Linked DNA regions of Coturnix japonica. The protein of the gene in region 1 interacts with the protein of each later gene in a pairwise test. Links are inferred from orthologs where the notes say so. Each region holds a gene or a part of one and is shown on either strand. Other genes may lie near its edges.

The links.
Region 2: the proteins of HOMER3 (region 1) and EAF1 interact in binary tests that used the Homo sapiens proteins (3 or more experiments, as listed by UniProt). The two-hybrid records come from large-scale screens. The link is inferred for Coturnix japonica from reciprocal best matches to the Homo sapiens genes HOMER3 and EAF1.

Annotation. Positions count from the first base shown.
Region 1 is NC_029543.1:2,743,521-2,747,660, reverse strand, and holds the start of HOMER3 (homer protein homolog 3), read right to left. Parts: upstream 2,921-4,140; 5' UTR 2,830-2,920; coding exon 2,798-2,829; intron 1-2,797. UniProt on the Homo sapiens protein: Postsynaptic density scaffolding protein. Binds and cross-links cytoplasmic regions of GRM1, GRM5, ITPR1, DNM3, RYR1, RYR2, SHANK1 and SHANK3.
Region 2 is NC_029517.1:38,120,346-38,124,529, forward strand, and holds the start of EAF1 (ELL-associated factor 1), read right to left. Parts: upstream 2,805-4,184; 5' UTR 1,208-2,804; coding exon 934-1,207; intron 475-933; coding exon 380-474; intron 1-379. UniProt on the Homo sapiens protein: Acts as a transcriptional transactivator of ELL and ELL2 elongation activities.

The DNA of each region.
Region 1 (4,140 bases):
ACCTAAGGGCAACTGCTAAAATGCAGCCTTCCTGCCAGACCTCGTTGAAAGGAAAAGAGGGAGAAGAATAAACCCTTTTATTATTTTCATCTTTAAACGCTCTTTGCTTCAGATCTTTTATGGCACCCAGCAACGTCTTTGCTCAGTAGCTTCTACACAGGGCGTGGGGAGGTGTTTCTGACTGCACCGCTGCATTTGGCTCATGCTTTGTGTCCTTGTTTTTCTCCATTTTTCCTGTGCAATCTGGAGGATTTTTCCTACTGAGAATCTTTTATTTTCCCCCCCATTAGTAATTCTGGCCTCACAATCCTGTCTACCCACCTAAAACACGCCTATTTAGTTAACCAAATGACTTACTACCTCCTGCCCACCTGTCCCCTTTGCTGCATGACCAGAAAGAAATCTTGCTATGTTTGCTTTGGAAAGGGAAGCTTTTAGAGTCACCATTCCCCAAACAGATGCTGCACTTAAAGCAGCAGCTGGGACGTGCTGGTGAGGCTGAGCTCAGTCCTCATTAACTGCATTTGCCTTGGTGTTCTTGGATAGGGTTCAGCCAAGGGCACATCTAGAGGTTCACATGCTGCTCCCCCTCTCTTTCACTGCAGCTTCTCTTTGCAGGGACATTCATTTACTTGTCAGAGAAAGAAGTCTCTGCATTTGGACACAGAGAGGGCGATCATTTTAAATACCTCGCTCTGCATCCAAGCAGTCTGCAGCTCCCCTTCATCTAAAAACCAAATCAGAAATGCCATATGAGAAACCACAAAGTACCCTATCAGCAGAATCATTTGTTTCTGTGAACTGTGGGCACAACATTGCACAGGTACAAGGGTAGGGAGGGGCTCTGGGGTGTGATAGCAGCGGGATACCTTTAAGAGCACAGAGACTTAGGGACGTATTTTTGCACTGTGGCTGGACTCAGTGCACAGCCATGCGAGTCCCCAGAAAAAAAGTCAACTGATAAAGGTCCATGGACAGCATTAGGTAAGGATTTCCCAGCTGCTGTGGTGAAAACTTTGCAGTTCTCAATGTAATCTTTCCTAAAGTCCTTTCTCTCCAAGGACTACTTTCCTGGATGGGTCCTGCTTGCGCAGAGCAGAAGGGGGTACGTGAGAGCATGTGAGCACCAAAGATATGTGGCTCAGCTCTGGCGCCTGGCCCAGCACCACGCTGAGTCAGCTGGGAGGCCGTGCTGGCTGCGTCAGGGCTGTGCCTGCTGCTGATCAGCAGCCAGCACTCTCTCATGTGAAAAAGCCCACTATGCAGTGCAGTACTGGGTAATTTGAGGGAGGAGATGGCTGGGACAGGCTGGGGGGGGGAATGCATTTCAGCCTGCCAGGGCCTGGTATTTCAAAAGGCAGAACTGGAGCATAGAGAGGACGTGAGAACCAGTTTCCTCCTCCACTGCTGTCTATCTTTGTTTCCTTTTATCTTCCCTCAGCAGCCTGAATAGCTGATGACTGCATGTCAGTGCTTTCTGAGGAAGTGTGGACTAACAGGACTGCAGAATCAAACCTCATTTCTTTCTCATTGCCTTTATTCTGGAAGTCTAACTTTTCCCAAGCCAGAGACTGGGTCTCACTACCTCCAAGAGCTTATGGAAGCTATTGCTTCCTCATAAACGGGTGCACAGGGTGTGCATGGACACTGCCTGCCTAGGATTTGGGTACTGGCCTGCAGGACATGATTATTATTCACTGACCTGCTGCAAAAGTTTGGGAAGGCCCGTAGCCCTTTGCTCCAACCACCAGGCAGGTTTTCAGGCCCTTTGAGCTACAGTCTTGCTTTCATTCAGTGCTGCATCATGTCACCTTGGGTGAAATGCTTAGATGCTGCTGGAGTCCAGGTGGGACCAGAAGAGGCCAGACTTCTCTATCAGCAGCCACACAAGGAAGGCTGAGCAGTGAAGCTCCGGCAGTGGGAGCTGGAAGCTGGCTGTGGGCTGCTTTCCCTGTGGCCTCCCCCAACTCCCAAGAGATTAACCAGCAGGGTTTAGCATAGGAATGAAAAGCAGCTGCCTCCTGGCCTGCCTGCAGATAAAGGGCAGCAAAGGAATCCCAGCTGAATATGCTCCTGTTGGGAACAGCAGCAAGCAGGCAAGGTCAGGCACAGAGAACGGAGATCAAGGGCATTTAAAGACATACAAATCCGCTGTTGTTTATTTTTTTCCCTCTCTCAGAAACCAGTCTCTATCTACAGAGCATTCTGATTGCTGAACACTCTGCAACACTCTGGGTGTCTGTAACACAACCTACACATTCACTTTCCTGAGACAACCATTACTTCTGCCACTGAGCATCAACAGTTCTTTCTTTTGACGCACACAGACCATTGCTGGAAGCCTGCAGAGCAATTACAGTTAGAAAACAGCAGAGCTAGACTGAAACTACACAACTCTTCTTACATTCCAGAAGAATAAAAAACCAAACATGTTCAGTAATAACTAGAACCAAAGAAGTGGACATATACATGTCCATATACAACTCCAAAATGTATTCTGCCTCTGCTTCTTCACTGGGAGCCACAGGACCCAGCTGACATCCAGCACACATGCCTGCTTTCCCTCACTCAGCTCTCTGAACTCTGCTGCCATTTTCAACCTGGACTTGTCAGAGCTCCACAAGCACAACCAGCTCAAGGGCCAGCTCTATCTGCTGCTCACAGTGCAGCGGCACTACACACAAGAGCAGGTGAACTCTTTGATAAGTGGGAAAACTCTATACTAATCGAATTATAAGTTGTATGCACTCGTGCTTCTCTGCTTATGCAGTTAGTAGAGACAAAGAAATATAAATACCTACTGAGGTCACAGCTGGGACCCAACTGCATTCACTTCCCTTGCAATCAAGTGTTATTTACAACTCTACTCTTCAGAGAGGAAGTGCTAGTGTGCTAATACACGAGTCCAAGGGCAGTTTGCCTGTGAAAAGCAGAATGTGATGTTACCAAAGACATCTAACATGGAGGAACAAAGCCCAGAATCCCTGCTTCAAAAATAAATCAACTAAAACCAAGTGCCAAACATCATTTGAAGGTGGGACACTTTTAATCCCTTCTGTATCGAGAGGAATCTAAATGCTGCTGAAAGCTACTTAATATCCCCATGTGATCAACATACAAGCAAAAAAGACCTTTTAACTCAGGAGACAAGTGGAATTGTGGGTGGAAATGTCATCTCTGGCTTAGTTTTGCTAGTGTAGTTACACAGAGTGATCTAAGCAGACTGAGATGCTGACATCAGCTCAGAGATTCAGAGCTGGGGGTCTGAAATCACAATGGATGTTAATTGTGGCTGTTCCAAGAAGGGTTCATCCCCTGCCCCTGGGAAACACACTGAGCTGTCACAAGTCATCTGCCTGCTACGCCCTTCCTGGCACTTCTGGAAGCTTTACGGTAACTTTGTGCATCACAGATGGAAAGTCAGAGGAAAACAAGGACACTTTCTGCTTTAACCTGTATCAGCACATACTCACCGACTTCAAAGGGTCTACGCCTGCTTCACACTGCTGTCACTTTTGATTCCTCGCCTCTACCTGTTCTGTGTCTTGAAGGTGTGTCTGCCTGCTCGATCATTTTATCTGGATAGTCCATAAGGGATATCAACAAGAGGAAAACAAGCCTCTAAGAATCTCACTTATTCGCCTTGTAATGCCAAACCCACACAGTTGGAGGGGGTTGATCAGACAGATCCACTGTGCTTCCAAACAGCCACGAAGAGTTTAACACACAAGAAACTCCCAACAATGTGTCAGGTCCTTCAACTTACATGACTGAGATTTATAAATAGGGCATAAATTAAATACCAGGCTAAGCTCCTATTTCCATGCCAAAATCCACTGCCACATCCACACAGCATTATTTCATTACAGGACAATCGGAGCAGAGGTTTCCAATCAGCTTTGTACCCACTCAGAAATACAAACAGGATCCATTTTTCCTGTAGTGTCAAAGTAACCACAGCTCAATAAAATCCCTTAACTCCCAACTCTTGGAGAACTTTATGTACACAGCCCAGACCCACCCAGCCACACACTTTGGGTTCTGTACATCATATGTATCACTAGAGGCTTCCCTTATGTACGTGTTTAAAGCAGTTGCAGAGATTTGCAATCATCTCCTTTCTAATAACCAAAGTAAAAA
Region 2 (4,184 bases), on another chromosome or scaffold:
TACAGGCCTAGCTGCAGATTCTGAATAGCACATCCTGACTGAACACACCGTTTCTTTGCTTCTATCCCTTACCTTGCAGCAGTAAAAATGGAAGGAAAGCAGGTAAAGAGCTTCAGCTAAAAGAAGTTGTCCTTTTATACATGTTACACTAAGAAGGAAGGAAAAAAAGAACCAACTGGAGCCCTACAAATAAGACCTTTAACACAGACTCAATCGTACAGACCTCTCCTCACATAACATGCTGCAAGTCTAGCAGCTCAAACACTAAGCCCACCTGTTTCTAGAAAAGACTGAAGTAAAAAATAATAATATATAGGACAGAGTGGAATTACATTGCAAAGAACTTGAATACATTCAATAGCACAGATAGCATTCTTACCGGAATATGCGGCAAAGTGATTGTTACATCATCTCCTTTACCCACTTGGATCTCCCCTTCACAGGACGTATCAATCGATGCCGGCTTAAAATCATCTAAGGAGGAAAACAATTGTGGTTATATCTCTGGGAGTCTTCAGAACTTGGAGCCTTTAGAATTCTCCTTTGCAAAAAGGCAATGCACATTCATTGTTGCTACAGGAAATACTAAAATACACAGTAGCTTGCACCAGGGGTGGAACAGTACAACAGTACAACCTGTTCATACTCACAGCCCGACACTTGATGATAATAGATGCAAAATTCACCTTTTAAAGTGGAAGTAAATTACCAGACTGTGTCTGAAAGACCAAAAGCAGGCTCCTCCTGACGTGTGATGCTGCACACAGGTGTGAAATTGTACCAAGCATCCCATAGGAGTATCAGGTCCCAGACCCAGAACCCAGGCTCCTGCCACCTCCAAACCTGAGGACTCCCATCTACATCAAAGGCTAATTGGGTGAGACCAGCTCACTGAGCCTCACTGATATTTCTGACTACTAACAGATATCTTGCCTCTGCAACACCTTGAGAAGACACCTTGGCTCCCACCTATGGGGAAAAAAGAAGGTGCTGATGTTCTTTCACCAGGTTCCACACAAGGCTGAAGCTGCTGTAGATGAATGGAGAGCATAACTGAGGTCAGACACTGCTGCAGCTCTAAGCAAAGCCCCGCTTTAAATAATTTCTGCTGCACTAATGAATTTGTGTTTAGCATATTTATTTGAACTAAGAACATTTTAACTTCAAAGTATTTCCCCCCTCTGATTCTGTCATGCTGCTGAGCCATAAAAAACACGTAACATTGTGACAGAGGATTTAGACAGAATGAAATAAGATCAGACAGCTAAGTATTTCTCACAACCAGGCATCCAATTCCAGCATCTCTGGATACGTAGAGGTGCAGTTACAGTCACAACCAAGACTTTTAATTACTGCATTAGTTAAGACATTAATACCTTAGAAAACCCAAATTTTAATTCTACTTTGAAAAGCACGTTTGCTGGGGAAAGAAAACAGCTTGTAATAAATTCTCATTAAGGGGACGTTAACGTCTAATTGAGTTTCACTTTGACAGCACAACAAGCAGAATCAGGCACACTTGACTTAATCCTCATCCCTTAACTGCCAGACCAAATCACATCTTTCACTCTCATCTGCACAATCTATTTCTAGCTATTGTTTCCCACCTACTTGATGTGCAAGCTTGCTAAATAAAATGAACCAGCTGTAGATGAGCTGGCATCTTTGCCAAAGAGGGATCAAGAGCTTCAATGGCACAGCCGCTAAATGAAAAAACACAGCACAGTAAAATACACTTATTCCAAGCAAGCACACAACAAATTGCTTTCATTCTGAAAGCTCATTAGACACCCATGCTTGACTAGTTTTGCCATAGATGGAGAGCACGTATGTCTCTTCAGGTGTAAAACCCCATCCTTTCACCAGAAGTCAAATAGATGCGTCTCCCAACCTGGTTCTTCAGTACAGGATTTCATAAGCATCCCAGAAAACAATAAAAGTATTTTAAGGAGGCAGAGACAAATCCAGCCTGCAAAATCCTCTTACTGCAGTTTGCATGAAGAGGATTACAGGAATGATATAATGCTCAGTTCCCAGGCAGATCACCCAAGATCAACAATTAGGAAAGAGATAAGTTTTTGCCAGAAAAGAGATCTCACTTGAGTGTAACTGACTGAAAATACAGCACATTAAAACCTCTTCTGAAATCAAAACATACTCTTTCGGTTGTAGCCTGAAGTGCTTTGGCTTTGCAACCCCTGGAGAACTTGATTATGAAAGCACTTTACGTTCTAGAAATACACTGCATTGCTATCCGGATACGGCTTGGGTTTAATTCGTGCACTATCAGACAGCATCCTTATTCCTTTGATGGTCGGGCTATTTTAAATCTTTGATTTATAAGTGGGGATTTGCCGGTGCAGCAGAGCTGGCTAGAAGCATCCAGTGTTATATGTAAACAGCTAAATACATCAAACGCATGTTATGGCATTCTTCAATCTGGTGAACTACGTATGATCAGAGGGGGGAACCACACACCATATAAGCAGACAGAGGCTTCTGTTTGGGGAAATAGCTTTGCTTCAAGCACTGATCATCTCGAGGAACAGCTCCAAGTTGTTCCTTCAGAGCTCACTTTGACCTCACCAAATGACACACTCACAGCCATGAGACTGCACACCCAGGACTACGCATCACATAACAAAAATCTCTAGCATTAATTGTACCAGTTCCCCACCCAATCAAATAGCAACCAAAATACAACTTCTGGATCATTCTCATTTACTTTTGCTGATTAACTCCTCATTTTTAAGCCCTGGGCCTGCTTATAGAATCATAGGGGTCGGATGGGACCTCTGGAGATGACCAAGCCCAACCCCCTGCTAAAGCAGGTTCCCTGCAGTAGGTTGTAAGGATGAAGTAGCAGTTCCTTGAGGATTATTAGGAGACAAAATAGCAATTTCTTGCCCACAGAAATCCAGCAGAGGAATGCAGTGAGCTCCTCTCCCAAACCACCTCCTTAACATGAAACAAAACACATCCAATGCCACAGAAGAACAGTAGGAATGATCTCTGGTGACTTGAAAAATGGCAGATTGCCCCAGTCATTCTAAAACTCTGTTAATGCCAGAGACCATTCCTCAACATTTCTCTCACTCTTCAGAGTTACCACATGTGTGGCAACACTGTGTGAGCCTGAGCCACTTCTCGGCGCTTCCCCATCAAGTGACTTCCCATCTAGATCGCTAGAGGAGGGGTCGTGGGATCATGACGGCAACCACCTCCATCCATTCAAACTTTAAATTCAAACCGCGGCTCCTTGAGCTGGGCCCGCGTTGCCATTAAGGAGAAGGATAAAGGAATACAAGCGGCAAGCCGTGCTTCCACGGAAAACTTCAGAGCCTTCGCCCACTGCCCGCTGAGACCCCGAGGGAGGGGAGGAGGAAAGGGGGATGCTCACGGGGGAAACGGGCGCAGTGAGAAGGGAGAAGGAAGGGCCGGCGGGAGGCACAGCCGCAGGGAGCGAGGGGCGATGGAGGGGAGGGACCCCCGGGAGGGCGGCGGGCACCGCGCGGCCCACGGCCCCAGCGCCGCCCGGCGGGAAGGGGCTGAGGGCAGGGGGCTCGTCCGCGGGAGGGAGCGGGGCGGGGAGGAAAGACGCGGCTGGGCTAAGCGGGAGGAGAAGGGAGGGCGGTGCTCACAGCGGATGGTATGGAAGGAGGCCTTGGGCCGCCGCTCGAAGCTCTCGCCCAGCTGCAGCGGGTGCTCCTCCTTGTCCAGCAGCGGGTTCGCCGAGCCGTTCATGGCCCCGCACCCCCCCTGTCCCGTCCCGGCCGGTCCCTTCCTCTCCTCCGCCCGCCGTGTGCGCTGCCGCCCCGCGCCCTTCCGGGCGCCGAGTGCAGCCGGGAAAGCGCTCCGGGGCCCACGGCGGCGGGTGCGGAGCGAGCGGCCAGGGGAGCGGGACCGAGCGGGGCTGCGGGCCCCGGGGAGGGGGAGCGGGCACGGGGGAGGGTCCCCCTCGCTCTCCGCCCTCGGGAGGGCAGGACAGCGCGGGGCACGGGGACAACGCGGCTCAGGAGCCGGCGCCGCGGGTAGCTTGGGCCGGGCAGCGCCGTGCGGGTGTGGGCTGAGCACACATGGAGGGGGGGACGTGTGGTGTGAGTGCTGCCAGGCTGCACCAATTCTGTGGTTTAATTCAGCGTGCTGTCCTGGGTCTGGGTGTTTGCGGCAAGGCAGAGCTTAGA